Callithrix jacchus: one gene and its partners. The protein of the gene in region 5 interacts with the protein of the main gene of each other region in a pairwise test. Links are inferred from orthologs where the notes say so. Each region holds a gene or a part of one and is shown on either strand. Other genes may lie near its edges. The genes, in order: MOB1A, MAP1LC3A, LRRC45, EXOC7, KXD1, CCDC185 and C3H4orf46.

Evidence for each region.
Region 1: the proteins of KXD1 (region 5) and MOB1A interact in binary tests that used the Homo sapiens proteins (3 or more experiments, as listed by UniProt). The two-hybrid records come from large-scale screens. The link is inferred for Callithrix jacchus from reciprocal best matches to the Homo sapiens genes KXD1 and MOB1A.
Region 2: the proteins of KXD1 (region 5) and MAP1LC3A interact in binary tests that used the Homo sapiens proteins (3 or more experiments, as listed by UniProt). The two-hybrid records come from large-scale screens. The link is inferred for Callithrix jacchus from reciprocal best matches to the Homo sapiens genes KXD1 and MAP1LC3A.
Region 3: the proteins of KXD1 (region 5) and LRRC45 interact in binary tests that used the Homo sapiens proteins (3 or more experiments, as listed by UniProt). The two-hybrid records come from large-scale screens. The link is inferred for Callithrix jacchus from reciprocal best matches to the Homo sapiens genes KXD1 and LRRC45.
Region 4: the proteins of KXD1 (region 5) and EXOC7 interact in binary tests that used the Homo sapiens proteins (3 or more experiments, as listed by UniProt). The two-hybrid records come from large-scale screens. The link is inferred for Callithrix jacchus from reciprocal best matches to the Homo sapiens genes KXD1 and EXOC7.
Region 6: the proteins of KXD1 (region 5) and CCDC185 interact in a two-hybrid assay, tested with the Homo sapiens proteins (2 studies listed by BioGRID and IntAct). The two-hybrid records come from large-scale screens. The link is inferred for Callithrix jacchus from reciprocal best matches to the Homo sapiens genes KXD1 and CCDC185.
Region 7: the proteins of KXD1 (region 5) and C3H4orf46 interact in binary tests that used the Homo sapiens proteins (3 or more experiments, as listed by UniProt). The two-hybrid records come from large-scale screens. The link is inferred for Callithrix jacchus from reciprocal best matches to the Homo sapiens genes KXD1 and C4orf46.

Annotation. Positions count from the first base shown.
Region 1 is NC_133515.1:39,015,391-39,019,625, reverse strand, and holds the start of MOB1A (MOB kinase activator 1A), read right to left. Parts: upstream 2,801-4,235; 5' UTR 2,588-2,800; coding exon 2,574-2,587; intron 1-2,573. UniProt on the Homo sapiens protein: Activator of LATS1/2 in the Hippo signaling pathway which plays a pivotal role in organ size control and tumor suppression by restricting proliferation and promoting apoptosis.
Region 2 is NC_133506.1:4,744,815-4,748,209, forward strand, and holds MAP1LC3A (microtubule-associated protein 1 light chain 3 alpha), read right to left. Parts: upstream 2,124-3,395; 5' UTR 1,977-2,123; coding exon 1,937-1,976; intron 1,842-1,936; exon of another isoform or gene 1,773-1,841; coding exon of another isoform or gene 1,766-1,772; intron 1,614-1,765; coding exon 1,558-1,613; intron 1,470-1,557; coding exon 1,363-1,469; intron 1,081-1,362; coding exon 918-1,080; 3' UTR 501-917; downstream 1-500. Other genes in the region: GPI-anchor transamidase component PIGU, read left to right, coding at 1-93. UniProt on the Homo sapiens protein: Ubiquitin-like modifier involved in formation of autophagosomal vacuoles (autophagosomes). While LC3s are involved in elongation of the phagophore membrane, the GABARAP/GATE-16 subfamily is essential for a later stage in autophagosome maturation.
Region 3 is NC_133506.1:137,627,136-137,631,383, reverse strand, and holds the start of LRRC45 (leucine-rich repeat-containing protein 45), read right to left. Parts: upstream 2,801-4,248; 5' UTR 2,546-2,800; coding exon 2,308-2,545; intron 1,936-2,307; coding exon 1,874-1,935; intron 1,526-1,873; coding exon 1,455-1,525; intron 1,207-1,454; coding exon 1,028-1,206; intron 887-1,027; coding exon 758-886; intron 1-757. UniProt on the Homo sapiens protein: Component of the proteinaceous fiber-like linker between two centrioles, required for centrosome cohesion.
Region 4 is NC_133506.1:131,998,421-132,001,920, reverse strand, and holds part of EXOC7 (exocyst complex component 7), read left to right. Parts: intron 1-736; coding exon 737-904; intron 905-3,500. UniProt on the Homo sapiens protein: Component of the exocyst complex involved in the docking of exocytic vesicles with fusion sites on the plasma membrane.
Region 5 is NC_133523.1:17,269,793-17,273,980, reverse strand, and holds the start of KXD1 (kxDL motif-containing protein 1), read right to left. Parts: upstream 2,801-4,188; 5' UTR 2,537-2,800; intron 1-2,536.
Region 6 is NC_133520.1:5,346,495-5,350,707, forward strand, and holds the start of CCDC185 (coiled-coil domain-containing protein 185), read right to left. Parts: upstream 2,801-4,213; 5' UTR 2,773-2,800; coding exon 874-2,772; 3' UTR 1-873.
Region 7 is NC_133504.1:37,670,846-37,674,945, reverse strand, and holds the start of C3H4orf46 (renal cancer differentiation gene 1 protein), read right to left. Parts: upstream 2,801-4,100; 5' UTR 2,585-2,800; coding exon 2,399-2,584; intron 814-2,398; coding exon 658-813; 3' UTR 1-657. Other genes in the region: ETFDH (electron transfer flavoprotein-ubiquinone oxidoreductase, mitochondrial), read left to right, coding at 3,237-3,270.

The DNA of each region.
Region 1 (4,235 bases), on a different chromosome or scaffold from region 5:
GAAAGTATCAAAAACTAAACTCGCCGGGTGCGATGACTCATGCTTGTAATCCCAGCACTTTGGGAGGCCGAGGTGGGTGGATCCCGAGGTCAAGAGATCGAGACCATCCTGGTCAACATGGTGAAACCCCGTCTCTACTAAAAATACAAAAAAATTAGCTGGGCATGGTGGCGTGTGCCTGTAATCCCAGCTACTCAGGAGGCTGAGGCAAGAGAATTGCCTGAACACAGGAGGCGGAGGTTGCAGTGAGCCGAGATCCCGCCATTGCACTTCAGCCTGGGTAATAAGAGTGAAACTCCACCTCAAAAAAAAAAAAAAAAACAAAACCTAAACTCATCAAAACTGGTGATTAGTTCTAGGAAGAGGAATGGAATAGACTATGGACTTTTACTTAACCTCAGTAATTTGGACTTTAAATAAGACTGATTAAGAAGTAAAAGAGAATTGTGAAAACACTAAAAATCAAATATGGAAAGTTTTTAATGTGATAAAAAACTATATTGAACAAGGAAAAAAGTATTTGCAAAAAAATCAAGGATATAAGGACTTGTATCTAGAATGTATAAAGAACTCTTACTACTCAAAAACAAACAGCCCAATTTAAAAATGGGCAAAGGATCTGAATAGACTTTACTCCAAGGAATATATGCAAATAACCAATAAGCACACGACAAAATGCTCAACATCATTAGTCATTAGGGAAATGCAAATCAAAATCAGGAGATACCACTCCACATCCACTTAGGGTGACCATATAAAAAAAAGACAATTAACAAGTGCTATGGAGGGTGTGGGGAAATTGGACCCCTCATACAGTGCTTATGGGAATGTAAGATGGTACAGCACTTTCAAAGTTTGGCAGTTCCTCAAAAGGTTAAACATAGTTACCATGTAAACCACTCCTGGCAATTTCACTCCTAGGTATATACCCAAGAGATATGAACACATACATCCACGCAAAAACCTGTCACATATGTTCACAGCTGCATTATTCATAATGGCCAAAAATCGGGAACAACTCAGGAGTCCATGAAGAAGGCCAAGTTTTAAATAAACAAAGTCTCTGTTGGGTGCGGGGGTGGATCACCTGAGGTTAGGAGTTCTAGACCAGCCTGGTCAACATGGTAAAACCCCGTATCTACTAAAAATACAAAAATTAGCCGGGTGTGGTGGCCAGTGCCTGTAATCCCAGCTACTCGGGAGGCTGAGGCAGGAGAGTTGCTTGTACCCAGGAGGCAGAGTTTGCAGTGAGCTGATACCATGTCATTGCACTCGAGCATGCGTGACAGAGTGAAACTCCATGTCAAAAAGAAAAAGAAAAAAATCTCACATTAAGGTCCACAAAGCAACTATGCATTCACTAAATATCGACTCATAAGAAAAAAGTGGAGGAGGGGGGAATACTTCTATTAATATGGAAATAAATCTAAATCATACAGGCTTTTCGACAACGTCATCGTATTTTAGAGATCATTCTTTTATAAAAATAACCCAAAGGAAGGAAAATGAGACGCAGATAAACATAGTCTTAATAGTGCTATTTTATAAGAGCAAATACTGGAAGGAATCCCAGGTTTCTTACAATAAAGTGGGCAAACTCTGGTTACCAAAAAAAACCACTATGTAGTGCTTTTTATATTGTACTTAAAAATGTCAAGCTTGTGGATTATATCCATAACTAAAAATGGATAATTATTCATTCAACCACAAAACCCACATTTAAGCAATATATAAGGTGGAGAGAGCCACCTGAGAATAAAAAATACTGTGCTAGAGCAGTGCTTCTCAACCTTTAATGTGCATAAGAATCATCCATTTACAAACTTTTTAGTTTGGGCTCAGGCATTATCTCTAAAATGAGATTCTAAGGTATGTGTATTAAGTTAACTGCTGTAGTGCACTAAAACGGCAATACTGTGTTTCTGTAATGGGACTAAGAATGAATTTTTTTTTTTAATTTTAACTTTCCAAATTATAATAATATTGCAATGTACTATGTAAGAATACGGTGTATTACATAATGATTAAAAACCCACGATTCCACCGAGGACAAAAGAAGTTAGTTAAAATCAAAGCCAGTAAGTGGGCAGAATCAGAATTGGACAGAACGATCTGACTCCAAGGCCCCCATCTTAACATCAACCTCTCAAACCGCCGCACTGCACATTCTCCTGGGGCGGAATTTAACACCGACGATAATGAAACTGGACCTCTAACAGAGCGACGAGCTAAGGCGGCAGGGATCGTTTCTAGAGGCTCGAGACGAAAGAAACTGGGGGCCCGCGGCTCCGCCCCCAGATCATCACCCCGCCCTTGGGGGCGCTCGGGCGGAAAAGTTTGGAGGCGCGGCGGCCCCAGGGCCTTTCTACTCCCCAGCTTTCTCGCTCCGTTCCCTTTACCTCGACCTTCATCTCTGTCCGCCTCTCCCAACATCTCGGCCTCCAGCGCGGGCCCCAACAGAGGCAAAACAAACGCCAGCTACCCCGCCCCGCCCGGGCCCCCGGGCCCAGCCCTCGCCTCAGGTCTGGGGAGGCCTTCCCTACGACCTCGGCCCGCGGCCCGGCCCCACTCACAAGAGGAAGCTCATCTCCGGTCCTCAGAGGGGAGGCAAGGGGCCTCTGGCCCCCGCCCGGATCGGGATTCGGAGCCGGCGAAAGGGAGCGGACCGTCCTTAGCTCACGGGCAGCGGAAGCCGGGCCGCCGCCGCTGGGAGCCGGAGTTCTGGCAGCTGCGAGCCCTTACAAACCTCGACGCCCGCCTCCCCCGCCAACCCCACCTCACAGACCCGAAATGCGGAACCAGCAAAATCTCGCGAGCTAAGGCTTCGCTGCGCCAGGACCACTTGACGCGCCCCCTTTCGCTCCGCCTCTTCCTAGAAGTCAGCAATCATCGCTCTCCAAGCCAGGACCTCCCTCCCCCGAAGGCGTGGCGAGGGCCGCGGTCCTGCGGAAGGGACAGTACCTTGTCCTGCTCTGGTGTATCTTGATTCTGCTGGGTTTCGACCCCGCTCCCTAGGTTGTGCAGGGGCCTCTATAAGCGCTGTCTAGTCCTGCGATTTTTAAAAATTTAAATTTAATTTTTACTTGAAATATATTCACATAGCATAAAATTTACCCTTTAAATATGTACCCTCTAGTAGTCTTTTTCTTTTTTTTTTTTTTTTTTTTTTTGAGATGAGGTCTTGCTCTGTCGCCCAGACTGGAGCGCAGTGGCGCAATCACTGCAGCCTCGACCTCCCTGGCTTAAGTGATCCTCTTGACTCAGCCTCCCGACTAGCTGAGCCCGCAGGTCCATGCCACCACACTCTGCTAATTTTCTCAGTTTCGTAGAGATGGGGGTCTCACTGTGTTGCCCAGGCTGCTCTTGGACTCCTGAGCTCAAGGGATCCTCCTGGTTTGGCCTCCGAAAGTACTGGGATCCCAGATGTGAGCCACTGCCTCTGGCTTCGTTTATGTTTTCGAAGTGTGCCAACCATCACCACTAATTTTTTTTTTTTTTAAGACAGAGTCTCACTTTGTAGCCCACTTCCAGATTGGAGTACAGTGGTGCAACCTCGGCTCATTGCAGTCTCTGCCTTCCAGATTCAAGGATTCTTGTGCCTCAGCCTCCTGAGTAGCTGGGATTACAGTGGTGCGCTGCCACACCTGGCTAGTTTTGTTTTTTTCTTTAAGTAGAGACGGGGTTTCACCATATTGGCCAGGCTGGTCTCGGTCTCAAACCCCTGACCTCAAACAATCCACCCGCCTTAGTCTCCGAAAGTGTTGGGATTACAGGCATGAGCCACCGCGCCCAGCCTAACCATAATTCTACGACATTTTCGTCACCGGGAAAAGAAACCCCATAGCTATTAGCAGTAACTCTTTTTTTTTGAGACGGAGTTTCGCTCTCGTTACCCAGGCTGGAGTGCAGTGGCACAATCTCGGCTCGCCGCTACCTCCGCCTCCTGGGTTCAGGCAATTCTCCTGCCTCAGCCTCCCAAGTAGCTGGGATTACAGGCGCGCGCCACCACGCCCAGCTAATTTTTTTGTGTTTTTAGTAGAGACGGGGTTTCACCATGTTGACCAGGATGGTCTCGATCTCTTGACCTCGTGAACCACCCGCCTCGGCCTCCCAAAGTGCTGGGATTACAGGCTTGAGCCACCGCGCCCGGTCAGCAGTCACTCTTTTTTACCCACCTCCCTCCCCCTAACCCCTGGTAATCACTACTCTACTTTCTATTTCTGTGGATTTACCTA
Region 2 (3,395 bases), on a different chromosome or scaffold from region 5:
TTCTATGCCTTCCTGCGGCGGGAGTACTACCTCACACACGGCCTCTATTTGACGGCCAAGGACGGCACGGAGGCCATGCTTGTGCTCAAGTAGGCCTGGCTGGCACAGGGCTGCATGGACCTCAGGGGCGGGAAACTGGGCCAGGCCCTCCAGCCAGAGTTGCCAGCAGGCGAGTCCTTGGGCAGAAGAGGTTCAAGTCCAGGGTCACAAGTCTCTGGTATCAAAAGGGACCCATGGCTGACTGCAAGACCTCTGGGGAGGAACTGGGAGCTCTGGAAAAGGCAGGTGAGCAGGGCTTGTTAGGTTGTGGCTACTTAATAAATGTTTTTTGTTACGAAACCTACCCTGGGCCCATATCTGCATTGCACTCCTGGGGGTGGCCCCTAATGTTCTGGAAAGTACACACAGGTGTGTGTTTCTGGTATGTCAGAGCCCAGGGACGGTTCGGACAGCCCCACCAGCACCCTCCCCACTCCCAAGCAAGCAGCTGGAGGCATAGGGCCAGGCAGGCCTGAGCAATCTTTATTCTGCAGAGGGACAATGACCACAGATCCATACACCATGTGGAGATGGAGGGGTGGGGGGGCCAGTCTTTCAGGGGTGGGCAGGTCCAGGTAGTGGGCAGAGCCTCGGGTGGGTGAGGGGCAGGCAGGGGCCTAAAAAAAAAGATGAACCACACAGCAGGAGTGTGGGGGGATGCTTCCCACCTTCCCCCATCCCAGCCAGCACCCAGAGGGGCAACCCTAACAAAACCACTTAGGGGCAGAGGAGGTGGGTTGGTGCCCTCTGACTACGGGGCCACATCCCTGCCCAGCCCACCCCCAAGCAGAGGCAGCTCAGTTCAGGAACCAGGGGTTCTCTGGGCAGGGCCTGACCGGGCTTCCCCCCACTCCCAGGCCGACCCCCCTACTGCTGGCTCAGAAGCCGAAGGTTTCCTGGGAGGCGTAGACCATGTAGAGGAAGCCGTCCTCGTCTTTCTCCTGCTCGTAGATGTCCGCGATGGGCGTGGACACGCTCACCATGCTGTGCTGGCTCACCAGCAGGAAGAAGGCCTGAGTGGGGTTCAGCTGCAGGCGGCGCCTGAGGCAGGCGGGAGGGTGTGCGGCTGTGAGGGACGTGGCTGCAGGGCAGGCACAGCCCTGACCCCCAGAATGATTCCCAGCCTTTCACATCCATCCTCACCCCAGCTCTCACCTCTGACCCGACTCCAACTGCAGCCCCGACCTTGACCTTTCCAGCCGCGCCAGAACAGGGGCCCACCGCCTGGTCCCATCACTACTGACCCCACTCCCACCTCCTCTCGGCGGGAACCCGGCTCCCCGCCAGACCCAAGCTGCCTCCTGGCGGCGGCTGCCCACGCACCGGATGATCTTGACCAACTCGCTCATGTTGACATGGTCCGGGACCAGGAACTTGGTCTTGTCCAGGACGGGCAGCTGCTTCTCACCCTTGTAGCGCTCGATGATCACCTGGGAGCGGGGCAGGCGGGCAGGGGTTCGTGTCGGGGGCGCGCGAGGCGCGGCCAGGGCGGGGCAGGGCTGGGGGCACCGGACTCACCGGGATCTTGCTGGGGTGCTGGTCGCGGATCTGCTGTACCTCCTTACAGCGGTCGGCTGCGGATGGCGGCCGGACCTTGAGGCCGGGCTGAGCCGGGCCCAGGTCCTCCCCGTGTCTCCGCCCCGCCTGTCCCCAAGGGGCGGCCCCCGGCCCCGCCCCAGCTCCAGCCCCCGCCCCCGGGGCCGGCAGGCCCCACAGCCCCTAGCACCTATCATGGTGGGGAGGTGGGCGGCCTCCGCCCAGGCTGGAGTCAGCCTCCCATCCCGAGGGTCCGGCTGGGGCCTGACGTCACAGGACTGACGTCACCCGCGGTAGTCGGGGTCGGCCGGGCCCCCGCGTACCCCTGCTCCGAGCTCACAGCTTGCCCGCGGGGCCTCACCGAAGCTCCGCCGCTGCTTGAAAGGCCGGTCTGAGGGCATCGCGCGGGCCCGGTTGGGCGCGCAGGCCGGGGCTCTGGGACGTGGGGATGTGGCTGCGGTTTGGGGGCTCCGGGGGCTCCGTGCCTCACGCTGAAGGGCTCCGGGGCTCGCGCTGAGCGCGGCGGCGGCGGCTGCGGGAGGTAACTCGCCCGGTGACGTCAGGTCACAACATTCCTTAAAGGGGAGGCCGGCGCACTGCTCCCATTGGGCCGACGCACAACCTGCCCGCCCGGGCTCATGACGTCACGGCGCAGAGCCCCTGGGTCCCCGGCTCGGGACGCGAGGGGCGGGGCTCCTGGGCGCGTCACAGTCCTGTGACGTCATGGCCGGCCCAGGAGTCTCTCCCGGCGCGGAACTCAGGTGAGGCCTGGAGGGCGGCGGGGCTGCCAAGGGCTGAGGGAATGGGCGGGCCAGGCTGCAGCCCCGCGGCACCGCTCCCCGCGCCCTCACCGAGTCTGTGCCAGGCCTGGCGCGATTCTGGGCACCGTGGGAAACAGCCGGCGCCTTCTAGGGGCTCAGGACGAGAGACGGGAGAAGGTGCAGGAGGCACAGGATCAAGCAAGACATCACAAAAGAAGGCCCAGGTTTGCAAAGGAATTCTAGAATTGACAAGTAGAGCCATGGAAATTCAGGTCTCGGAGGATGAGGTGTAGGACAGCAGAAAAGAGTGCGCGGACCTGGAGGCTGATCGGAAGCAGCTCACCAGAGAGACAGGTGATGGAGAATAAAAAGGAAAAAGCCACGGATGGCAATGCCGGGAGATCTCACAGGCCGGGGCAGAGCTCCCTGCAGAGGCAGTTCCTGAAGGAGAGCTGCCAGAAGTGATTCTTAAAATCGGGTGGAATGCAAACACCGGAGATGAACATCTGGACGCTAGTGAATCTGCAGAACTCCAAAGACTATGCGATTTTAAAAGCGACCAAGGATGATGGATTTTAAAAATTACACCAATAACAAACTTCTCAGCAGCAAACGTAGAAGGCTACAGTAAAATGTAACGCTTTACACCTCGTTGACAGGAAAAATGCTGTCAACGAGGTGTTGATCCATGATTTAAGAGTTAAGAAGTAAAGATAGGTGGTGACAAAGAGCTTACACGAAAGACTGTTGCTGAAATTATTTTTGGGGGGTGGGACTGAGTCGTTCTGTCGCCCAGGCTGGAGTGCACTGGCGCAATCTCAGCTCACTGCAACCTCCACTTCCCGGGTTCAAGCGATTTCTCCTGCCTCAGCCTCCTGAGTAGCTAGGACTACAGGTACGTGACACCACACCCAGCTAATTTTGTATTTTTAGTAGAGACGGGGTTTCACCACGTTGCCCAGGATAGTTTTGATCTCCTGACCTCGTGATCCATCCGTCTCCGCCTCCCAAAGTGCTGGATTACAGGCGTGAGCCACTGAGTGCGGCAGCTGAAATAAT
Region 3 (4,248 bases), on a different chromosome or scaffold from region 5:
GAGGCAAGGGCCATCCTGGGGCATCTGGCCACCATCCCAAAGATCAAGGGGCACTGCACAATGCTGAGGTGGACACTGTGCTCAGCTCACGTTCTGGAAAGATCATGGCATGTGGGGAGGTGGCAGAGGTCAGGAGCAATGACAATAGCCAGGCCAACACTCAGGCAACGCCAGGGACAGTGCAGCTCAAGCCAGAGGCCAGGCAGGGCCAGCAGGAGGGTGAGCCCTCGGCACAGGGGCCGGAAGAGGCTGCCACTGTGTGTGGATGAGGGAGTATGAGGCCTGATACTGAGACATCAGCCGCAAGGACGTGGGGTTGCTGGTAGGTGGGAATGTGGAGGCCACACAGACCAGGCAGCCCCAGCCCACAGGACTCAACATGCAGGGCCACAACTCAGGTTGACCAGGGAGCAAATGCCAAGAAGCCCCTCCCTAGCCAAGGCCTGGGCCACCTGAAGCATCAGCACTGCCACCAAGGCCAGGGCTGTGAGCCACAAGGCCTCAGCTTCCGCAGCTATGTAATGGGTACCCCCACTGCATAGGTTGTAAGAACTCATGGAGCACACAGGGAGTCTTGGACAGTGCCCATGTGTGGTGAGTGCCGATCAAGTGCACCGAGACCCTCTGCTCCTTCCGCTTCTGCAGGCTCTCAGGCTGCTCTCATCATCAGTTCTGGTCCCAGGCCCAGCACCCCGCCCTCAGTGGACACGCCTTTCTCAGAGGCTCGTGTGTCGTTCCACACAGCCCTGCAGCGTACCCACAGCTCTGAGGACATCTCCGGGGATGTTGTTCCCAGCCAGGTCTAGCCTCCACAGGGTTCTGTTGTTGGGGAGACAGTTCATGAGAGCCCGGCCCCCCAGGAGGCCAATGTTATTCCAGCGCAGGTCTGGAAAGAAACCTGTAGTCACCAGATGGAATGCACCTGGTGGAGGGGGAGCTGGCCTGGCTGGTCCCCTAGCCCCTCACTTCCAAGAGCACAGGCAGTCTTGGAGGGACGAGGGAGCCCGAGGCACCCTGGAGGCCTCACCCAGCTGCTGGAGGGTGGCATTGCCCTTCAGGGCCAGGGCCAGCTCCTCGGCGCCCTTGTGACTGATCTGGTTGTTGCGGAGGTCCAGCTTCTGCAGCGTGCCATTGGCTGCCAAGCCCCCACAGAAGGTAGCAAAAGCATCATCCCACGTGCCCAAGTTGTTCCACTCCAGTGTAAGGCTGCAGGAAGGACAGGAGCCAGTGTTAACCCAGGGGACTGCCTAGCCCATGGGGTCCAGGGCCTGGGGATGGTGTTGGCTTGGGGTCTGATGGGCTGGAGCCTCTGCCTGCTCACTGCTGTTTGTGAAACACAGCAGACAACTGGCAATTGTGAACTCTTGGGCAGCAGAACCATGTGCTCTAGGGCCAATCCTCAACCACATAGAGAGGGGACCTGGGGTGATGGTGGGGTCAGGACCACCACCCACCTCTGAATGGATTTGTTCTGTTGGAGGAGTTTTCCCAGAGCCTCAGCCCCGGTGGCTCGAAGGTTGTTGCCCTAGGACAGAAACAGGCTGGTAGTCGCTCCCCTCACCCTGACTGGTTCTGAATTCCCGCTCATGCCCCAAGGGCCCTGGTCAGCCAGTGGACAAGGCTGGGGTGCCCCCTGGGCAGACGTGTGGCCTCCCTTCCTTCAAGAACTTCCTGGGGCTGGCTTGCTTGTAGCTGATGTGAACTCTTGCTCCAGAGACAGTCACTCAAATAGGAGGCCTTTGGAGAATGGCCTGGGACACTTACAGTTTCCAGCCACTTGTCCAGACCCCAGGCCCCCCGAGACCTGGCATCTTCCCACTCTCCTCTTGCCCTCGGGTGGCACACTTGGACACCCAGAGTGCAGGTATCTCACCTTTAGGTCCAGAAAGCGCAGCACGGTGTTGGCACACAGGCCTCGGAGCAGCAGTGTGGCCCCTGTGTAAGGGAGGCCGCGATTACTCTCTGCCCCTGCTGACCCCAAGACCTTCCCTGTGGGCCCCTTTTGAGGGCAGCTCCCTAGACCCAGGGAAGGACAACTGTCCCGGTGGTCTGGGTTGGCGCTGGCCAAGAGTCTCGCTGCGAAGCTGTGTTTGAAACACCTGCAGCCCCTGCAGCACAAAGCCGCGTCAGCACGCAGGGAACCAGGTAAGTCGCGGCAGGTTAAGGCCTCTTCCCCCGTCATAAAGAGGAATTGCCCTCCAGTCCTGCTCGCTTTAACTACGGTACAGAAAGAGGAGAGCCTGGAGAGGAAGCGGCCTCTGGGGCTGCCAAGGCAACGGCGTGGGCAGCTAAGGAGCAGCGACCTACCCTGTCGGGCCTGCCCACCTTCCTCATTGAGCATGCAGTCGCTTAGGACCAGCTCCGTACACAGCGTCTCCCTCGGCAGCAGCTTGCCTAGGGCCCTGCAGGTGTCCACTGTCAGGCTCTGCGTGGCCAGGTCCAGCCGGCCCCTGGGAAGCTGGTGCAGCTGCTGCAGGACAGCCTCCTGGGGCTCGGCCCCACTCTCCCTGCACAAGCGGCTGTAGCAGCGCCGGAACTCCTCCATGACCTGCGGGGTCGGCAGGACCTCCTTCGCATGCTCCCGCAGCTGCTGAAAGGGAGCCGCCTGGTGCGGAGCAGCCCCGGCGCCGGGTACAGGAGACTGGGCCTCCGCTGACCCGGACGAAGAGCAATCAGAGTGGGCTGTGCGGGCGGGAGGTCCTGGGAGCGCGGGGCTGGGCGGTAGTCAAGGTCCACTTTGGGCTGGGGCCCCGCGGTGCGTGGGGACCACCCGTACAGGAAGCAGGCAGGCTCGTCGCGCGCCCCCTCCAGGCCCTGCAGCGCTTGCAGCCTCGGCCCCGGTCTCGCGACAGCCGCTTTGGGACCTCAGTATCCAGGAGGAACCAGGCGCGCCGGGAGCGGCCGCGGGAACTACAACTCCCAGCAGGCGCTGCGCTGGCGGCGCTAGTTGGGGGCCAATTAGAACAAAGGAACTGGCGCGCTCTTGGGCTAGCAATCCGAAGGGGAGCAGCGCGCTCCAGTTTCATTGGCTAGGGTCATGAGGGTGGGGCTCCGGGAGGGCATGCTCCAGGATAATTGGCCGAGGGACGTGAGGGTGGTACCCCGGTAGGGCGCGCTCCTGGTTCATGGGCTGAGGGGCGTGAGGGTGGGGCTGCGGGAGGGCGCGCTTCTGGCTCATTGGCTGAAGGTAGGGGCGGGGCTCCGGGGGCGCGCTCGGGTCTCATTGGCTGGGGGCGCGGAGCGGGGCTCCCTAGGGCGCGCGCCGAGGAGGCGGCCATGGAGGGAGTCGGAGCAGGAGCTGGTTTCCGGAAGGTGAGGGTCGGCGGGCAGGGGCTAGGGCGGCGTGGACCCTGCATCCCGATCCCACGTGTGACACTGTGAGGGCCCGAAGCCAGCCCCCGCGCCGCCCACCTGTGCCTTTGATGTTGGCCCCGTTCTCAGACTCCTACCCCGGCCCGCCAGCGCGCCCCGCGCTATCCTGGGTGGGAGTCTCGCAGCAGGTAGAAGGGTGCGTGGGGCAGCCGGGGCTGCGGGAAGGTGGAGAAGGTTTGCAGAAATAGGCAGGGGTAGGCGCCGTCCAGGCGGAGTCCAAGCCAGCAAAAAGAGAGGAAGAGCTGGGCCGCCGTCCTGAGCCCTGAGCCTGGTTTCTCCTGTGAAGAGGAGGTCAGACCCCAGGACGGCAAGAATGAGGCCCGAGTCGGCAGACCTGGCCCAGCCGCCAGGCACAGTAGTTCCCCTTTTGCCCACTCTCCGGTGGGCGCCAGCACTGGGCTAAGTCCCCGGAACGCGTGGTGTCCTCGGTGCTCCACGTTACACACACTGGACACCTATTAACCCCGCCCGCCAGTGGGGAAACCGAGGTACGGGTGTGTTAAGTGATTCAGCAGGGCTAGGGTCAGACCCAGGCCGTCTGAGCCATGATCCGCCAAGGCTGGAGGGCGTGCCCTGCTCTTCCCTGCCCCTGGTGAGTGGGGCTCTCTGGGGCTGTCACGTGCAGAGGACCCCCCTCTGTGCAGGCAGAGTGGTTTCTGAGCCCTTCGTTCTATTACTGTACCTGAAGGTTGGGGCACTGAGCTTCCTCAATGTCATCAGGGCCTCGTGGACCTCTGTGGCCTGGAAAGGGGAGGGTCTCAGGCCCTTGTGAACCCATCCTCAGGGTCCTACTTCAACCCTGTAGGGGCAGGGGGAATTCTTTATTAGCCCCTTCTTTATCACCCAAGGACACCAGGGGCTCAGTACAGGGTTGGG
Region 4 (3,500 bases), on a different chromosome or scaffold from region 5:
CTGGATGTTAACTTTATGTTTTTTACTTTTTTTAAAAAAAGTACCATTCAAAACTTACAACTAGGGCTGGGCAAGGTGGCTCATGCCTGTAATCCCAGCACTTTAGGAGGCTGAGGTGGGTGGATCATTTGAGGTCAGGAGTTCAAGTTGAGCCTAGTCAACATGGTGAAACCCCATCTCTACTAAAAAATACAAAAATAGCCAGGTGGTAGTGGCATGTGCCTACAATCCCAGCTACTCAAGAGGCTGAGGCAGGAGAATTGCTTGAGCCTGGGAGGTAGAGGTTGTAGTGTGCCGAGATCACACCACTGCACTTAGTCTGGGCAATAGAGTAAGACCCTGTCTCAAAAACAAAACAAAAAAAAACCTTACAACTAATTATCAGTTCTATTAAAGGGTATTTTTCTCTTTTGAGACTTTGCCTGGCTGGATGCAGTGTCTCATACCTGTAATCCCAGCACTCTAGGAGGCTGAAGTGGGCAGATTGCTTGAGCCCAGGAGGTGGAGCCTGCAGTGAGCCATGATGGTGCTACTGCACTCCAGCCTGGGCAATAGAGAAAGACCCTGTCTCAAAAAAAAAAACTTTGAAAGACGGCCTGATTTGGGACAAGATGTGGGTGGCTTGTGACCCAGAATGGAGAGCAGATGCTAGGAAGGGTTGACAGGTAGATATGGCAGGTCTGCAAGGAAGGGCAGGGCCTGGCAACCACACCTCTATCGCTCTGTGTCTCCTTAGATTTCATGAACGTCTACTACCAGATACGCTCCAGCCAGCTGGACCGCTCCATCAAGGGCCTGAAGGAGCATTTCCATAAGAGCAGTTCTTCCTCTGGGGTTCCCTACTCCCCTGCTATCCCCAACAAGAGGAAAGACACACCTACCAAGAAGCCAGTCAAGCGGCCAGGTGAGCCCCCATCTGCCACACCCAGAGGCTGACTGGGGCCTGCACTGCTTTTGTCCAGTCTAGCATTCGCAGCATCAGATTCCTCCAGAATTTGTTGTCATGGTAACCCCGACTATAGGTACACAGGACAGAAAGCAAGTGTCTTCCCACCCAGTGAGGCCCCCCAAGAGTGAGGCTCTTCCTTCCAGCTGGCAGAGCCTGGGGGTTACACAGCTTCTTTGTAGTGGGGGGCTTACAGGTCCTCAGTTAATCCCATCTGAGACAGGCTGCAGAGGCCTCCAGGGCAGAGCCCCTGCCTGGACCCCCTCCCTCACACACACATCGTCCTGTCAGGAGGCCTGGCACACTGCTGCAGCCAGAAAGGATGCTGGGATAGCAAGGGGACAGGCGCTCTAACCTTCACCTTCCAGAAAAGCAGGGTGACCTGAAGTGACGTTTAGCTGAGAGCTGGATGGGGAGAATTTCACTTTCCCGGTCAATCCAGAAAGGAAAGAAACCCCAGAGCATCCTCTCAGAAGAACTTAAACTGGCTTTGGGCTCCAGTGTGAGTCAGGCCTTGTGGAAAGGGGCACCACGATGAGAGGCCTGGGCAGAGCTGTCGCTGTCCTGGGTGAACATCTCATCATCTCTCTGTTCTTTCTCACTGGCATCATGTCTCTTGTAGTCTGTGCTCCAGGTAAATAGCGTCTCTGTGAGCCACAGCTTGGCAAGCCTGGTCTTGCCACTGAGAGATGCTTCCTGCAGCTTGAGGAGATGCTGGGAAGTTCCAGTGGGGACTTGGTTATTCGGTGGGACTGAGATTGCTCTGGGAGAGAAAGCCAGAGATGCTGGGGCTGCTCCCACCCAGGCTGGCCCCCTGCCCAGCTGCTGCTGCAGGCACCTGCCCTAGTTGCTGTGGGACTTGCTTCTTGTGACAACAGGCTTTGGGTAGAGCTTACTTACACCCTCGGTTTCTCCGGTTCCTACCTGCCCCACCCCTCAGAGAGCACCTGCTCCCCTGCAGGCCTTTGTTTAGGGTTTGGAGAAACGGGCAGAACAGGGGCTGCTCTCAGAGGCACAAGTGAGTAGAGCATTAGGGAGCTGGGGCCTGGGGCCTTCTCCCTCCAGTGTGGATATCCTGCCCACCTAGACAAAACCTGCTGCCAACAGGGACTGCCAGTCCAGCCTTTGGGCTCAGCTGGCCGAATGGCGGCCAGGGCATTTCTGTGTCTTCTGTGTGGCGTGGGGCAGCTGTCTCCATAAGGCTGCGAGGGTGCTTGGGCCCCAGCTAGTCTGCACTGGCTTCCTCTTCTGCCTGGTTCTGTGACTGGCCCCTGGGAGGCCCCAGAGCCCTATATGCACTGCCCTAAGAGTGCCCGCTGGCCATGCAGCAGGGATCTGATCTCAGGGAGCTCACAGTGGATGACATCGATCCTTGCCCCAGAGACACAAGAGGAAACCTCTCCGGCTGTGGGGGTCTGTGGGGTTTCAAGAGTTGTCAGGAACTGGTGGGCTCAGGACTAATGTCAGGCTCTAGGGAATCAAGCCCCAGGGACTTCTAAGGAAAGGGGCAGGGGTGCCTCCCAGGTAAAGCACCAACCTCGGCATCCCTGGAGGTAATTGGGTGCCTGATGGGTTTGGTGCCTACCAGATCCACATACTGACCCACATCCTCCCCGGTGTGCATCTGCCTCTGCTCCTGGTGGGTTGTGGGACAGGATTCAGATTCACTCTTTAGTGAGCCGTGCTTGCTGAAGGGGAGAGAATGAGCAAGGCAGATGTGAGCCAGGCCATGGGACTTGGTTATTAGGAGCTAATTGTGAGCCGGGTATGGTGGCTCATGCCTGTAATCCCAATACTTTGGGAGGCTGAGGCAGGCGGATCACCTGAGGTCAGGAGTTCGAGACCAGCCTGGCCAACATGGTGAAACTCCATCTCTATTAAAAATAGAAAAAAAAAATGAGCCGGGCATGGTGGCACATGCCTGTAATTCCAGCTACTCAGGAGGCTGAGGCAGGAGAATAGTTTGAACCCGGGAGGCAGAGGTTGCAGTGAGCTGAGATCGAGCCACTGCACTCCAGCCTGGGTGACAGGACGAGACTCTGTCTCAGAAAAAGAAAAAAAAGAGTTAATTGTGGTGTGATGTGGTGTGGCGCGGTGCGGTGCAGGTGCAAGCAATGAGCCTCCACACACTGCCCCTTCCTCCCTCAGCTTTCTGAGGAGCTGCCAGGACGCAGCATCCTCACTGTGCTCAGATAGGCAATGGGGGGGCGGGGGCGTCTTGGGTGCCTTTCTTCTCCCATACATTTTGTTAACAAGGCAGCTGCACTGGTCTGTTTGAGACGGGAGTTGATTTCTCCACGTCTTTGGCCCTGAGATGTCTCATTCCCACAGAGGAGGCTGACCCAGGCAGCTGTGGGCACTGCCGTTTTTGTTCTGATTGTTTTCACGTGTGATATTAACTTTTGTTTTTTTCCCCCATGCCAAGAGCATGTACCTTCTCCTTCCAAGTGCACCCTCCAGGCTCTCTGTGTGGTGGCTTCTGTTAACCCTTCTTGGCTTTCGGATTTTTTCCTGTGTCTTTGGTGGTTTGGGGAACTCTGGTGTGTGGGCTAGG
Region 5 (4,188 bases):
CTCTACTAAAAATACAAAAATTAGCTGGGTGTGCTGGCAGGCGCCTGTAATCCCAGCTGCTCAGGAGGCTGAGGCAGGAAAATCACCTGAACCCAGGAGGTGGAGGTTGCAGTGAGCCGAGACCACACCATTGCACTCCAGCTGGGGCAACAGAGATTCCATTCCCCCCAAAAATAAAGGGTTTCAGAGCTCACTTAACCTACTCTCCTATTTATTCAAGCTCATACATACTAACTGCTATCCTTATTTATAGATGAGAAAATGGAGGATCAGGGACACTAAAGAACTGGGACACTGTCACAATCCCAGCAGTGAACCTAAGTCACAACAAATGTCCACAGCCCAGAGGTCTCACAAATGTGTGGATCTTAACAGATGCACAATATCTAGCAGTGACAGGACAGTGGCTTCTTACAGCAGCTGATTTCTGTATGACCTCTGAAGGATTTTTTTTTTCTAGGAAATTGACTCATTGACAAATGTTAGCAATGAATACTTTTTCCCAAAATATCATGGAGGCCAAGGGTATCTCTTTGTGATCTGAATCTGGCTGGCCAGTGGTTTGCAGCACCTTCTAGAAATACAATGCCACACCCAGTGAAACCCCCCTCCAATAATTACTATGGTTATTGAACTCCTGTGACATGCCAGGCAGAGACACCCACAGTCCCCACATTCCCAAAGAAGCATGCTCTTGTATAAAGAGGATACCTGGACTGGGTGCTCACGCCTGTAATCCCAGCACTTTGGGAGGCTGAAGCTGGCAGAGCACCTGAGGTCAGGAGTTTAAGACCAGCCTGGCCAACATGGTAAAACTCCCGTCTCTACTAAAAATACAAAAATTAGCCAGGTATGATGGCAGGCACCTATAGTCCCAGCAACTCAGGAGGCTGAGGCAGGAGAATTGCTTGAACTCTGGAAACAGAGATTGTAGTGAGCTGAGATCAAGTCACTGCATTCCAGCCTGGGCAACAAAGGGAGACTCCATCTCAATTAAAAAAAAAAAAAAGCTGGGTGCGGTGGCTCACGCCTGTAATCCCAGCACTTTGGGAGGCCGAGGCGGGTGGATCACAAGGTCAAGAGATCGAGACCATCCTGGTTAACATGGTGAAACCCCATCTCTACTAAAAAGTACAAAAAATTAGCTGCGCATGGTGGCGCGTGCCTGTACTCCCAGTTACTCAGGAGGCTGAGGCAGAAGAATTGCCTGAACCCAGGAGGCAGAGGTTGTGGTGAGCCAAGATCACGCCATTGCACTCCAGCCTGGGTAACAAGAGCGAAATTCCGTCTCAAAAAAAAAAAAAAGGTGGGGCGCAGTAGCTCACGCCTGTAATCCCAGCACTTTGGGAGGCCGGATCATGAGGTCAAGAGATTGACTTCAGATCACGGATTGATCCAAGGTCAAGAGATTGATCACGGATCACTTTGGGAGGCGGGTGGATCACAAGGTCAAGAGATTGAGACCATCCTGGCCAACATGGTGAAACCCAGTCTCTACTAAAAATATAAAAATTAGCTAGGCATGGTGGCGTGTACCTGTAGTCCCAGCTACTCGGGAGGCTGAGGCAGGAGAATTGCTTGAACCTGAGAGGCGGAGGTTGCAGTGAGCCAAGATCATGCCACTGCACTCCAGCCTGACACCTGGCGACAGGGCAAAACTCTGTCTCAAAAAAAAAAAAAAAAAAAAAAGACACCTGGAAAGGAAGGAAGCCCGTAGCTAGTGGCAGTGGGACACAGTTACTGGGACCTTCTGGGATACACCCCTACTTCAAAACAGAAATCTTTCCTGTCTCTGACTCCCAGATGTGAGGGCTGATTTATGGCACCTCCCTCTTGTTCCCCCTGCAGTTTCCTCTCCCAAGAAGCCTTCCCTGATTACTGCTAGTCTGGCCCACCTAGTGAAATTGACCAAGCAAGGGCTCTGATCCCAACTCCAAATGTGGATTTATTGAAGAAACGTAGGCTGTTTAACCTTAGGAGAGCCACTTCACCCTTCTGAATCAGTTTTTTCAACCATAAAATGGGAAAAGGGTGGAATGAAGATCTCACAGTGCTGTCTGTGAGAATTGAAACCAACGGTGATAACGAGTGGAGCTCAGAACGGGCTGTTTTTCCAAGAGGAGTGTGAAGGAGTACCGGGACAGGGCCCAGGAGTCAACATTTAGAGAGCATCCCAAGGGCTTCTAAGAATATATTATGGACAGACACTTGTAGAGCACTTCATTTAATCCTCAATCACCGTTATGAGGCAGACGCAATCACCTACGAGGGAAACTGAGGCTCACAAGAGTGGGCGCAGTTGCCAAAACTCACACGGAGAGGCAGAGCAGGACAACGGTTCTATCCAGATTATTTAACATAATTTAACTCCGCCATCCAAGCTCTGAAAAACCCCAAGTGGGGAGGAGCTCAGATATCCCCTCACGCCCCGTCACCTACAATGCGGGGAAACTGAGGCACAAGCCGGGCAACGCCCAGCTCCAGGTTACACGGCACACCCAGAACACAGGCGGCCCCACTTCCTATTTCTATACACCTGATCCGGATCCAGATCCAGCCCGCGGCGCCGCAGGTGTATCCATTGCGCAGACGGGGAAACTGAGGCCTGTGCGCAGCAGGAGTGACCAGATGTGGCCAGCGGCGCACCCCACCCCACCGCAGCCCGGGGGCCGCGCCCGACCCGGCCCGGTTCCCCGCGGCCCTGAAGTCCCCAGCCCCACCCCAAACTCGGCCCCGGCGTCGGTAGCGGCGGCACCTGCACATCTGGCGGCCTCGCTCGCGCTTCCGGGATGGCGCCCGCGCCGGCGCAACGTCACCACGCACCGATCGTGCGAGCGCGCGTGGCGGCGACGTATCCTGGAACCCCTTGCGTGCTTGGAGTCACGACAGGAAAGGGCGGAGCTTAGACGCAGCTTCAGCTCGCGGGTGGTCACAATGAATAGCCAATCAAGCAGTTCGGCTTGCGCCTGCGTATTTTCCGAAACCCCGGGTTCAGAGCAGCCTGGCAGAGGGAACGCTCAAAGAAGAGTTCCATCTTATAGATGGTGTGACTGAGGGCCCAGAGCGGCAACAGTCCCCAAGATCGTAAATGCTCCAGTGGTCTGTGGCCAAACCAGACCCGCGTGTCCTGCTTTCCAGGCAGGGAATCAGCAGAGCTGAGGTGGTGCCGGTGCTACGGCACCTCAGCCTAAGAGACAAGAGCGAAACTCCATAAGAAAAAGGATTTCCGGCCGGGCGCGGTGGCTCGCGCTTGTAATCCCAGCACTTTGGGAGGCCGAGGCGGTCAGATCACCTGAGGTTGGGAGTTCAAGACCAGCCTGACTGACATGGAGAAACCCCGCCTCTAAAAAACTAAAAGAAAAAAAGGAAAAGGATTTCCATTTGCATTTAGTCATGTCTCCTTAGTCTCTTACCCAATCCACCATTTGTGTCAGGTTCTCCACGTCTTTCATGATCTTAATGATTTTTGTTTGTTCGTTTGGTTTGTTTGTTTTTAAGATGAAGTTTCAGCCGGGCGCGGTGGCTCACGCCTATAATCCCAGCACTTTGGGAGGCCGAGGCGGGTGGATCATGAGGTCAAGAGATCGAGACCATCCTGGTCAACATGGTGAAACCCCGTCTCTACTAAAAATACAAAAATTAGCTGGGCATGGTGGCGTGTGCCTGTAATCCCAGCTACTCGGGAGGCTGAGGCAGGAAAACTGCCTGAACCCAGGAGGCGGAGGTTGCGGTGAGCCGAGATCGCGCCATTGCACTCCAGTCTGGGTAACAACAGCGAAACTCCGTCTCAAAATAAATAAATAAATAATTTTAAAAATAACAATAAAAAATAGGATCTCGCCGGTGCCATGGCTCACGCCTCTAATGCCAGCATTTTGGTAGGCCCAGTCTGGCGGATCACGAGGTCAGGAGTTCAAGACCAGTCTGACCAACATAATGAAACCCTGTCTCTACTAAAAATACAAAAATTATTTGTATTTTTTGTATTTTTAGTAAAGACAGGGTTTCATTATGATGTGGTGGTGTGCGCCTGTAATCCCAGGTACTTGGGAGGCTGAGGCAGGAGAATCTCGTGAACCTGTGAGGTTCACGAGAACCTCACAAGAGCGAAACTCCGTCTCAAAACAAAAAAGAAAAAAATAAAATGGGCCCGTGGCCCCATCTATGGTCCCAGCTGCTCAGGAGGCT
Region 6 (4,213 bases), on a different chromosome or scaffold from region 5:
GGGGAAACCCCCACCCCCATGATTCAGCTATCTCCCAGGGCCCCTCCCACAACACATGGGAATTATGGGACCTACAACTCAGGATGAGATTTGGGTGGGGACACTGCCAAACCATATCAGATGGTGTAGCTATGGTGGAATAGTCAAGATATAGAGCTGTTGGAGTTATAAACACTTCCTATTAACACAGGGAGGGAAGGCCAGAGAAGTTGACAATCAGGTAAAAACTATAGAGGGCCGTTTCCAAAAATGTTTCACAGAACATCAATTCCATGAAATTATCTGAGAAAATAAAGGGGGGGGGCGCTCTATAATTTGTGAAAAACACTACATTAAACAAATCCGTTTCTTTACTGATGCTTTTTCAGAGCCGTTAACATTTTAAATTGCATTATGAACTCCCAAGAGAGGACACAGTATGCAGGGCTCCCAAATCTGCTTGTTCACAGGAATCCTCCCACTTCTCACTTTTTAAACTTTCTTTTTATCTTGGAGATTTCATATGACAGGTACTTTATACTTTACCCTTCCATAAGTTCTGGGACTGGAAGAGACTTAAGACATACCACAGAACTGTATCCCTGACTAGAGATTTTTCTCTGGTATCTCCAAAATGTGCCCATTATGTGTTTCTAAGATTACTCGAGAGCTAAGTGAGTATTTTCTATTCAAATCAAAATTCACAAAGCCACATTATTTTCATAAAAATTCCCAAAATTTTCTCCCCAACCCTCTAAACTATCCAAGTGAATCAATAAACCAGTTCATGAGAGGAAATTGCAGCAATTTTATATGCTTTTTAAAAATCAATGTTCAATTGTAATCAGATTATAAAAGGAATCACATTGCCACATCTCCTTCTGGCTGCTCCCTCTAAGCCTGGCGTCCTTGGCTCTCAGTGGCGCCCATTCTGCCGACAGGCAGGGAGCGGGCCTCTAGTTCTATCTGATCAAGGGAGCTGTTGCTCCTTGCTCCTCTGTTCTCTCTCCTGGAGGCCTGCGGGAGCTTCCGGAACTCCTGTAAGTTTGAGTCTTTCCCTGGGGTAATGTGCCGCACCCTCTGCTCCTTTTTCTTAATGGCTTCCTTGATGCCCTCAATGTGGCACTTTTCCTCCTTCTCGGCTTTCAGTTTCAGGATGTGGTGGTTCTTCTCACGCAGGTGGTTGAGCTCCCGGAGGCGCTGCACCTTGTCCCTGGCGGTCTTGTGCACATGACTCCTGGCCTGCCGGATCTTCTCATCTGCCAGCTCCACCAGAATCCTTTTGTGCATCTTCCTCTGCTCCCCGGACTCCCCCGCGCGCCACTTGGCCTGCTGCAACTGCTCCTCCTCCTTCTGGGCCTTCTCTCTCATCTCACGGTGCCGCTCCTTCATCAGGCCCTGGTGTATCTCTTGGGACCTCTGGAAACCTTGCTCCAGGGACAGCTGCCTAAGGAGCTCCTCGGCCTTTGCCTGGCAGTCCATGAGGACCTTCCGGGCCTGGTAATTGATGAGGGAGCTCAGGTTGGTGTCCTGGACCTTCTTCTGGCCCTCTGCGGCATGCAGGTGCCTCTTGCGACAGGTCTCCACCAGCCTCCTCTGCAGCTGCAGGCTGTGCTGCTCCCTCATGTTCCGCGGCATCCTCTCCTGCTCCCGCAGGCACCGCACCTGGCACTGCTTTTGGTGCTCTGCCTGGGCGCGCGCCTTCTCCAGCTTCTCCTGGCACAGGTTCTCCTGGTCCTCCGGTTGCTCCTTCCACCAGCTTTCCCCAGGGGGCACGTTCTTCCCCTGGCTGTCCCGCCGCTGGCCGCGCTGCTCATGTCCCGGGAGGGTCTTGCGCTGCTCCTTTTCCTGCTGCCACTGTTCCTGGCTCTGCTGCAGCAGCTGCTGGCGCTCCTGCTCCAGGGTCATCTGGACTTTCTGATCTGAACGCTTCAGCTCCTCCCAGGCCTCAGCCGCCTGCTGCTGCAGCTCCCGCATCCGTTGGGCCTTCTTGAGCCGGATCAGCACCAGGGCCACAATCCGCTGGTCCTGGGAGGACATCACTGCTTCTTCCAGCTTGTTCTTCAACACCTGGGTGTGCGGGCTCCGCCTCTCTTTGCTGGAGGCCGAGGGCTGGAAGTCCTGGCTGGCTAATGACTCAACCTGGTCGCTGCTGTCTCTCTTCTGTGTGCACATGCAGGCCGAGTGTGGCCTGAACTTTTGGGAGGGCACAGAAGACCGCTCTGAGAGAACTAAGGAAGGGGACCAGCGACCTAGACGTCTGCTGAGCGGCACTGCCCACTGGTCTCCACCCTGTGCCTTTTCTATCCTGAATGTGCCACTCAGGGGAGTACCAGCTTCTCCGGGGTAAGGCGGGGGCGAGTCTCCCTGGGCCAGAGGGTAATGCGGGCAGGGCTGCTGTCGTTGGCCTAGCAGCTGGGTTTGCGGCTGCCAGGCCTGGCGGGGCTTGGTTCCTGCCTCTCCCCAGGCATCTTCCAGGCGCCTGCTGCGAGGCCCGTGCTTCCTGGCTCGGTCCAGTGGCCTGCAGGTCACGTCGCTCAGGCTTCGGCTGCCCCGTGGTGAGTCTGGGCACTCGCGTCTGCGAGGGCGTGGGGTGAACGAACAGTGCGGGTGCAGCCAGGGCCCCCCATCCTCGCTCTCCGCACCCAGAGTCCCGGCCCGGGAGCAAGCGGCAGGGCCGGCTCTGGACCTCTGCCTGCCCAGCCGCTGCTTGGTCTCTTGCTCTTCGCCCGGCCGTGGGGGTTCCCAGAGGTCCAGGTAGAGCCGCGGGGAGGAGTGACCGAAGCCTGCCATCCTCCCTCTGGGCACGCGCAGCGTCTGCGCAAGGGGCCTGAGACCTTCATAGGACGCTGCAGACACCGGCCCCGCCCCCCGGTCCCGAGGTCTAGGTCGCCTGTGACGTTCCAGCCACTTCACAATGCGCTTGGTAGCTGGGTCCCCGCAGTCCTCAGCCTTGGCCCGGTGCCGCCCACCCCAGCCTTGCTAGCAACCTAGAATGGGAAGGACAGGAGGCTGAGGATGGGGGTGGGGGTGGGGGTGGGGTGGGGGAGAGAGGGGTTGCAGATTGGAGGAGGGGGTCTGTAGGAAATCAGGGTGACATTTAAAGCTGCAGGTGCATAGTGTCCCCCCACCAGTGTTTGAGGCAGAAGTTTGAACTCGCATTTGCACAAAAATAGCAGGATTTTAAGACAGCCCAGGTGAAGGCGTCACCCTCAGAATGGAAGGGGTGGGTAGAAAGGCCGAGGCACAGTTTCAGGGAGGAGGTACCCTTAGCTGCAGAATCACCGTCCGCCATGTGTGTACCTCTGCAGTGTGCTCAAATAGAAAGGCTTGGACGCATATTAATACCCGACACCAGGCCGGGCACGGTGGCTCACACCTGTAATCCCAGCATTTTGGGAGGCCAAGGCAGGTGGATCACAAGGTCAGGAGTTCGAGGCCAGCTTGGCCAATATGGCGAAACTCTGTCTCTACTAAAAATACAAAAATTAGCCAGGCGTGGCGGCAGGTGCCTGTAGTCCCAGCTACTTCGAAGCCGGAGGTAGGGGAATCACTTGAACCCGGGAGATGGAGGTTGCAGTGGGCCGAGGGCCACACACACACACACACACACACACACACACACACAAAGCGACACCACCCTTTTGCCGTTTTAAGTTAGCAAGCCCAAAGTATGCTTTAATGTTTATATTTTAAGATTTTTAGAACAGGAAGGAGATGACTCTATTCCCTAATGTGGTAATTACTGCTATAGTCAAAATATGAATGCCACATGCACATTTTTGCAATAGCATCAATGAACACCATGCTGAAATCACATTATTTTTTGCCCTTTTCCTCCAGTTTTGTGGGATTCTTGTTTCTTGTTGAGGCACCCTTGGCTAATGGGAAAAGCACTGGATTTGGTAGAGAAAATGAATTTGAATTTCCTCCACCACTCTTCACTTTATTGGGCAAATTCCCTAAGCTTCCCCACCTCCAGTTCCAGCAAGGTGGAGTGGGAAGAGGGGCCTGATGATACCAGCATTACAGGACTGTTGTGAAGCTCAGGTGAAATTGTGCATCCAGAGGTTGGCACCAGAATACATTCAATAAATACTATTTTGGTGCCATGCTAAGCATCAGTTAAAAGTTTTAAGACTTGGGCTGGGTGGTGGCTCATGCCCATAATCCCAGCATGTTGGGAAGGCAAGGCAGGAGGATCGCTTAGATCAGCCTGGGCAACATAGAGAGA
Region 7 (4,100 bases), on a different chromosome or scaffold from region 5:
AGTCAACCTTGGGTTGGTGAGTTTGTATTTGCTCTCCTATTCAAGGAAAGGAGCTCTTAGATCAAGTCAAGCTTGTTGCTAAACAACAGTTTAGCCCGATGACGACAGTTTTTACTATCCAGACCTTTCTAGAACTGTGTATGGATGGGACACCAGTACTCCCCTCCGTCCTCACAGACATAGTGGAGTTTGAGAAGAGACTCACCAATGCAAAGAACAAGATGGGGAGTCTGTTTGGGCTACCTGGCGCACTCCACCATCCTATTATGCTAGAGCTCACTCCTGGGACATTTCCCAACCTGGCCATAGTAGCCAATTATTGGACCAAAAGAACCAACCCAACAATCACAGGCTTCAAAGACCCCAACATAATACCGGGAGCAAGTCTCTCACTGCCATTGCTACAAATGGTGGCACAGAGACCTGTCAAGAGGGAAGACACGGGTGGGCCAATGGACGGAACTCTTGTTATCTTAAGTTGTTATGGAATCAACGGTTATGATTGAACATCCATTCAAAAACGAAGAAAAATTTCATTCTGAGTGCATACAGAACTTCTGAACAGAGGTCATCCTATACATGTGGTAAATGTACAAATATGACATATGAAGAAGTATGAAGTAATACAGTCATTATTAAACAACGAAGTATGTCAAATTAGTCATCAGGTTTCAAAGAATCATAGCCTTCTTTCAAGAGGTCCCGCCATGTTTTAAGGAAACGTGCATTTTCTGTACATTTGAAGGCAAGCTCTTCCACTTGAGCTGATACTGCAGATGTGGCTTCAAGGAGTTTGGTTAATGAAAAGGCTGCCTAAAATTAAAAAAAAAAAGTCAAACAAGTTTATTTTTTAAATTCTCATCTCATTTTACAAGTAGTCTCAAAATAGCTTAAGGCCTTGAATCCAATGCCCCTGTTTTCTTTAAAAGTAATCAATTTTCAAACTAAAGCATTGGCTCTTCAATATTTCTTAGGTTCCCTGAAAGAGCCAATGCTTTAGTTTGAAAATTGAGTAGGCTTTGAGGAAACAGGTCTGCTAGAAAAATATTCACTATGTATGAGACATGACAAGTCAGTATTGTTGTTTTCTGTGAAAATACACTAGTCTCAGTTCAACAAGATGACTTGGACCCCTTCACACTAAGTGTCAGAAGTATCTGAAGGAATTCATCATAAATAATTCTTACTGCTATGTGGGTAACATGGGCATTGACCTGTGAACGCTTTAAACAATGAAAATGTATAGATCAAAGAACAGAAACTCTGAGCTCTGACAAACAACATCAACGAAATCACACACGAATGCAGAAAACACTCAGCTCCTGGTGGAAATTTCACTTTTTAGGCAAATATTTTCTTTGCTGATGATATAAAATAAAACGTTTTTCCTAAATAACACATTAGCACTTCATTCTACATATTTCTTTGTAGAATATTCAAAGAATATATAAGAAAATTCTACATATTTACTTACAATCAGTTTGTTCTGCAAAAATAAAGGCTGAATATGCACTTTAGTCATCCTTAAAAAAATACATGCGCAGCAATGAGATAGTCGAGGTCATCCCGCAGTTTCCAATCCTTAAGAAAGGTCATGCCACAGAGCTCTCCCAGAAGGTTACAGCCTACATACCTCATTCCACTTGACCCACTCGAGAGACCATAAAACTGTGACTTCCCTTCTCCCCCTCCCTATCTTGTGTGAGTTAGGGGTGGGAGGTGGGGTGCTAGTTTCTGGGGACTCGAGATTTAACAGAAACTATCCTTACTAAGTATGCATTCTACAAAGGGAGGAGTGCTAGCAATCATACAAAGGAAGGAGTGCTGAACTAAACCCTTAATGAAGCCAATCCACGTGACCTAAACCCTTCAAGCTGGGTCCACCGCTAAGCAGGCCTGAGGCAGACAATGGCATTATCATCTGTCCCTGGGCAGGTGGCCAACTAGAACAGCGGGCTCTAAGTCCCATGGAAAAAAATCACAGTCTGAACCTAAACACTCGCAGGCAGCAAGCAAACCCATGCAGTGAAAACTATTCTCTGATGGGAGGGGAGGAGGCAAAAAGCCAGCACTGGGCGGCGCAGAGCTGCATGGCTTCGGGTTACTGCGGATGATTGAAACCAGAAGGCGAGACAAAAAGAGACCAGTTAGAAGTGGGGCGGGTGGATGGATAACCCTTAAGACTCCTCACCGCTAAATCTAAAGGGGAACACTCAGAAAGGGTTTAGCTGCTGGCATCTCCCACTCCCCGCTTCCCGCCCGCAAGCTCTCGGGTGCAGAAGGGCCGGTCGTCCCCGGTCGTGGGGTTGGGGGACCGACTCCCTGGCCTCGCGGGCCCAGCCGCCGCCAGTCTTCCCAGAGGCGCCGAGGAGGGACGCAGTCCCAACTACACACTCACGTCTCCGATTTGCAGCTCCACTTCCTCCAGCGGGTCAACCTTTCGGCCGCTGCTCCCGCTCGGAACTGGCCAGCTCAAACTCACTGGGCCGCCGGGGAAAGATGCTGCAGAGGCGTCTGCAGAGGAGGGAGAAGAAGGAGGAGGCGGGGGAGGCGAAGAAACCTGCAGCTCCACAGGGTCGGCCATGGGGGAGGACTGAGACCGCGGAATCCAATCGAGCACCCGAACCGACACCAACTGTCTTTTAACCGCTCGCGCCCAAAGCCAAGTGGCCCCGCCTCCTAGCGCCCGAAATCCCGCCCCGTCTCCTCACGGGTCTCAGCCCTGGATCACAAAGACTTTTCATTTTTCGGGACAGCCAATCAGATGACATCTATCCACCTTAGGCAGCTCAAGGCTACTGCGCGAGCCTCTAGTAGGGCTGGAAGGGCGCGCGTGCAGAAGACTACCCCTCCCAGGAAGCTGTGCGCGTCGCCCCGCCTTCCACTGTCTTTCACTGCGCGTGCGTTGTCCTGTGGGATTCGTGAACCTCTCTAGCCGCGCTCTGGCTGGCACCGCGCCCCGGCTGGGTCTTGGAGTCCCTAATTTCCCTGGTTTGGTACATGACCCGGAAGCCTCGGCTGTCCGCCGCGTCATGCATGGCGCCGGCGCAGAGTGAGAAGGAGGCGGGAACGCCGCGAAGCAAGAGCTGTCGGCAGAGCTGGGTAGACGAACTGCGGTCGAGTTCTTGCTTCCCGGCAGGTGATGGCGCCCCCCGCGGCCTAGAGGTCCAACGCCCGCCGCGAGCAGCGGAGATTCCTCCTGTTCTGTCCGACCGAGAATCCTGGTGACTTTGAACATGCTGGTGCCGCTAGCCAAGCTGTCCTGCCCGGGTGAGAGGGAACGTAAGGTGGGGATAAGTGGAGGAATTAGGGCAAAAGCGACAAGGCCGGTCCTGGGGGCTGTAGGCACCTCTCACCTCTCACCTCTTCTCTCATCTGCTTTCTGAGGCTATCTGGGGCAAAGGTCACGCTCTGTGAGCCGGGTGGTGGACCCTGGCTGCTTCTCTCTGGGGTTGCCTCAGTTGGAAAAAATAATATCTAGGCTAAAGGTCAAGGGCGGAGAAAACTTGTCAACACACCCCACCCACCACCACCGGTCAACAAACACACATCTCGGTGGACTCCTGAACTAAGGCTTCCCGAATCATGGTTCTAATCCTCAAAGCTTTGTTTTAAATGGGGGGGGAAAAAAAGTTGTATTTGCCTAGTTTTTATCCTTGGTCCTGACCTGACTTTCGTCTTCGCAGCCATCCTGGTTCAGTCTAAAGAAATTGAAGTCTTATCTGTCACATCATGGTTAACATTCATATGTTAACCAAGTCACCTGAGTGTATCTGGAGCCAGGAGTTTTCTGCCTTGTCTAAAATTAACTATAAAGGCCAGTCGCGGTGGCTCATGCCTGTAATCCCAGCGCTTTGGGAGATCGAGGCCGGTGGATCACCCGAGGTCCAGATTTCAAGGCCAGCCTGACCAACATAGTGAAACCCCATCTCTACTAAAAATACAAAACTTAGCTGAGTGTGATGCCGCATGCTTGTAATCCCAGCTACTCAGGAGGCTTAGGCAGGAGACTCAGGTGAACCCGGGAGGTAGAGGTTGCAGCGAGCTGAGATCACACCACTGCACTCCAGCCTGGGTGACAGAGCCAGACTCCGTCTCAA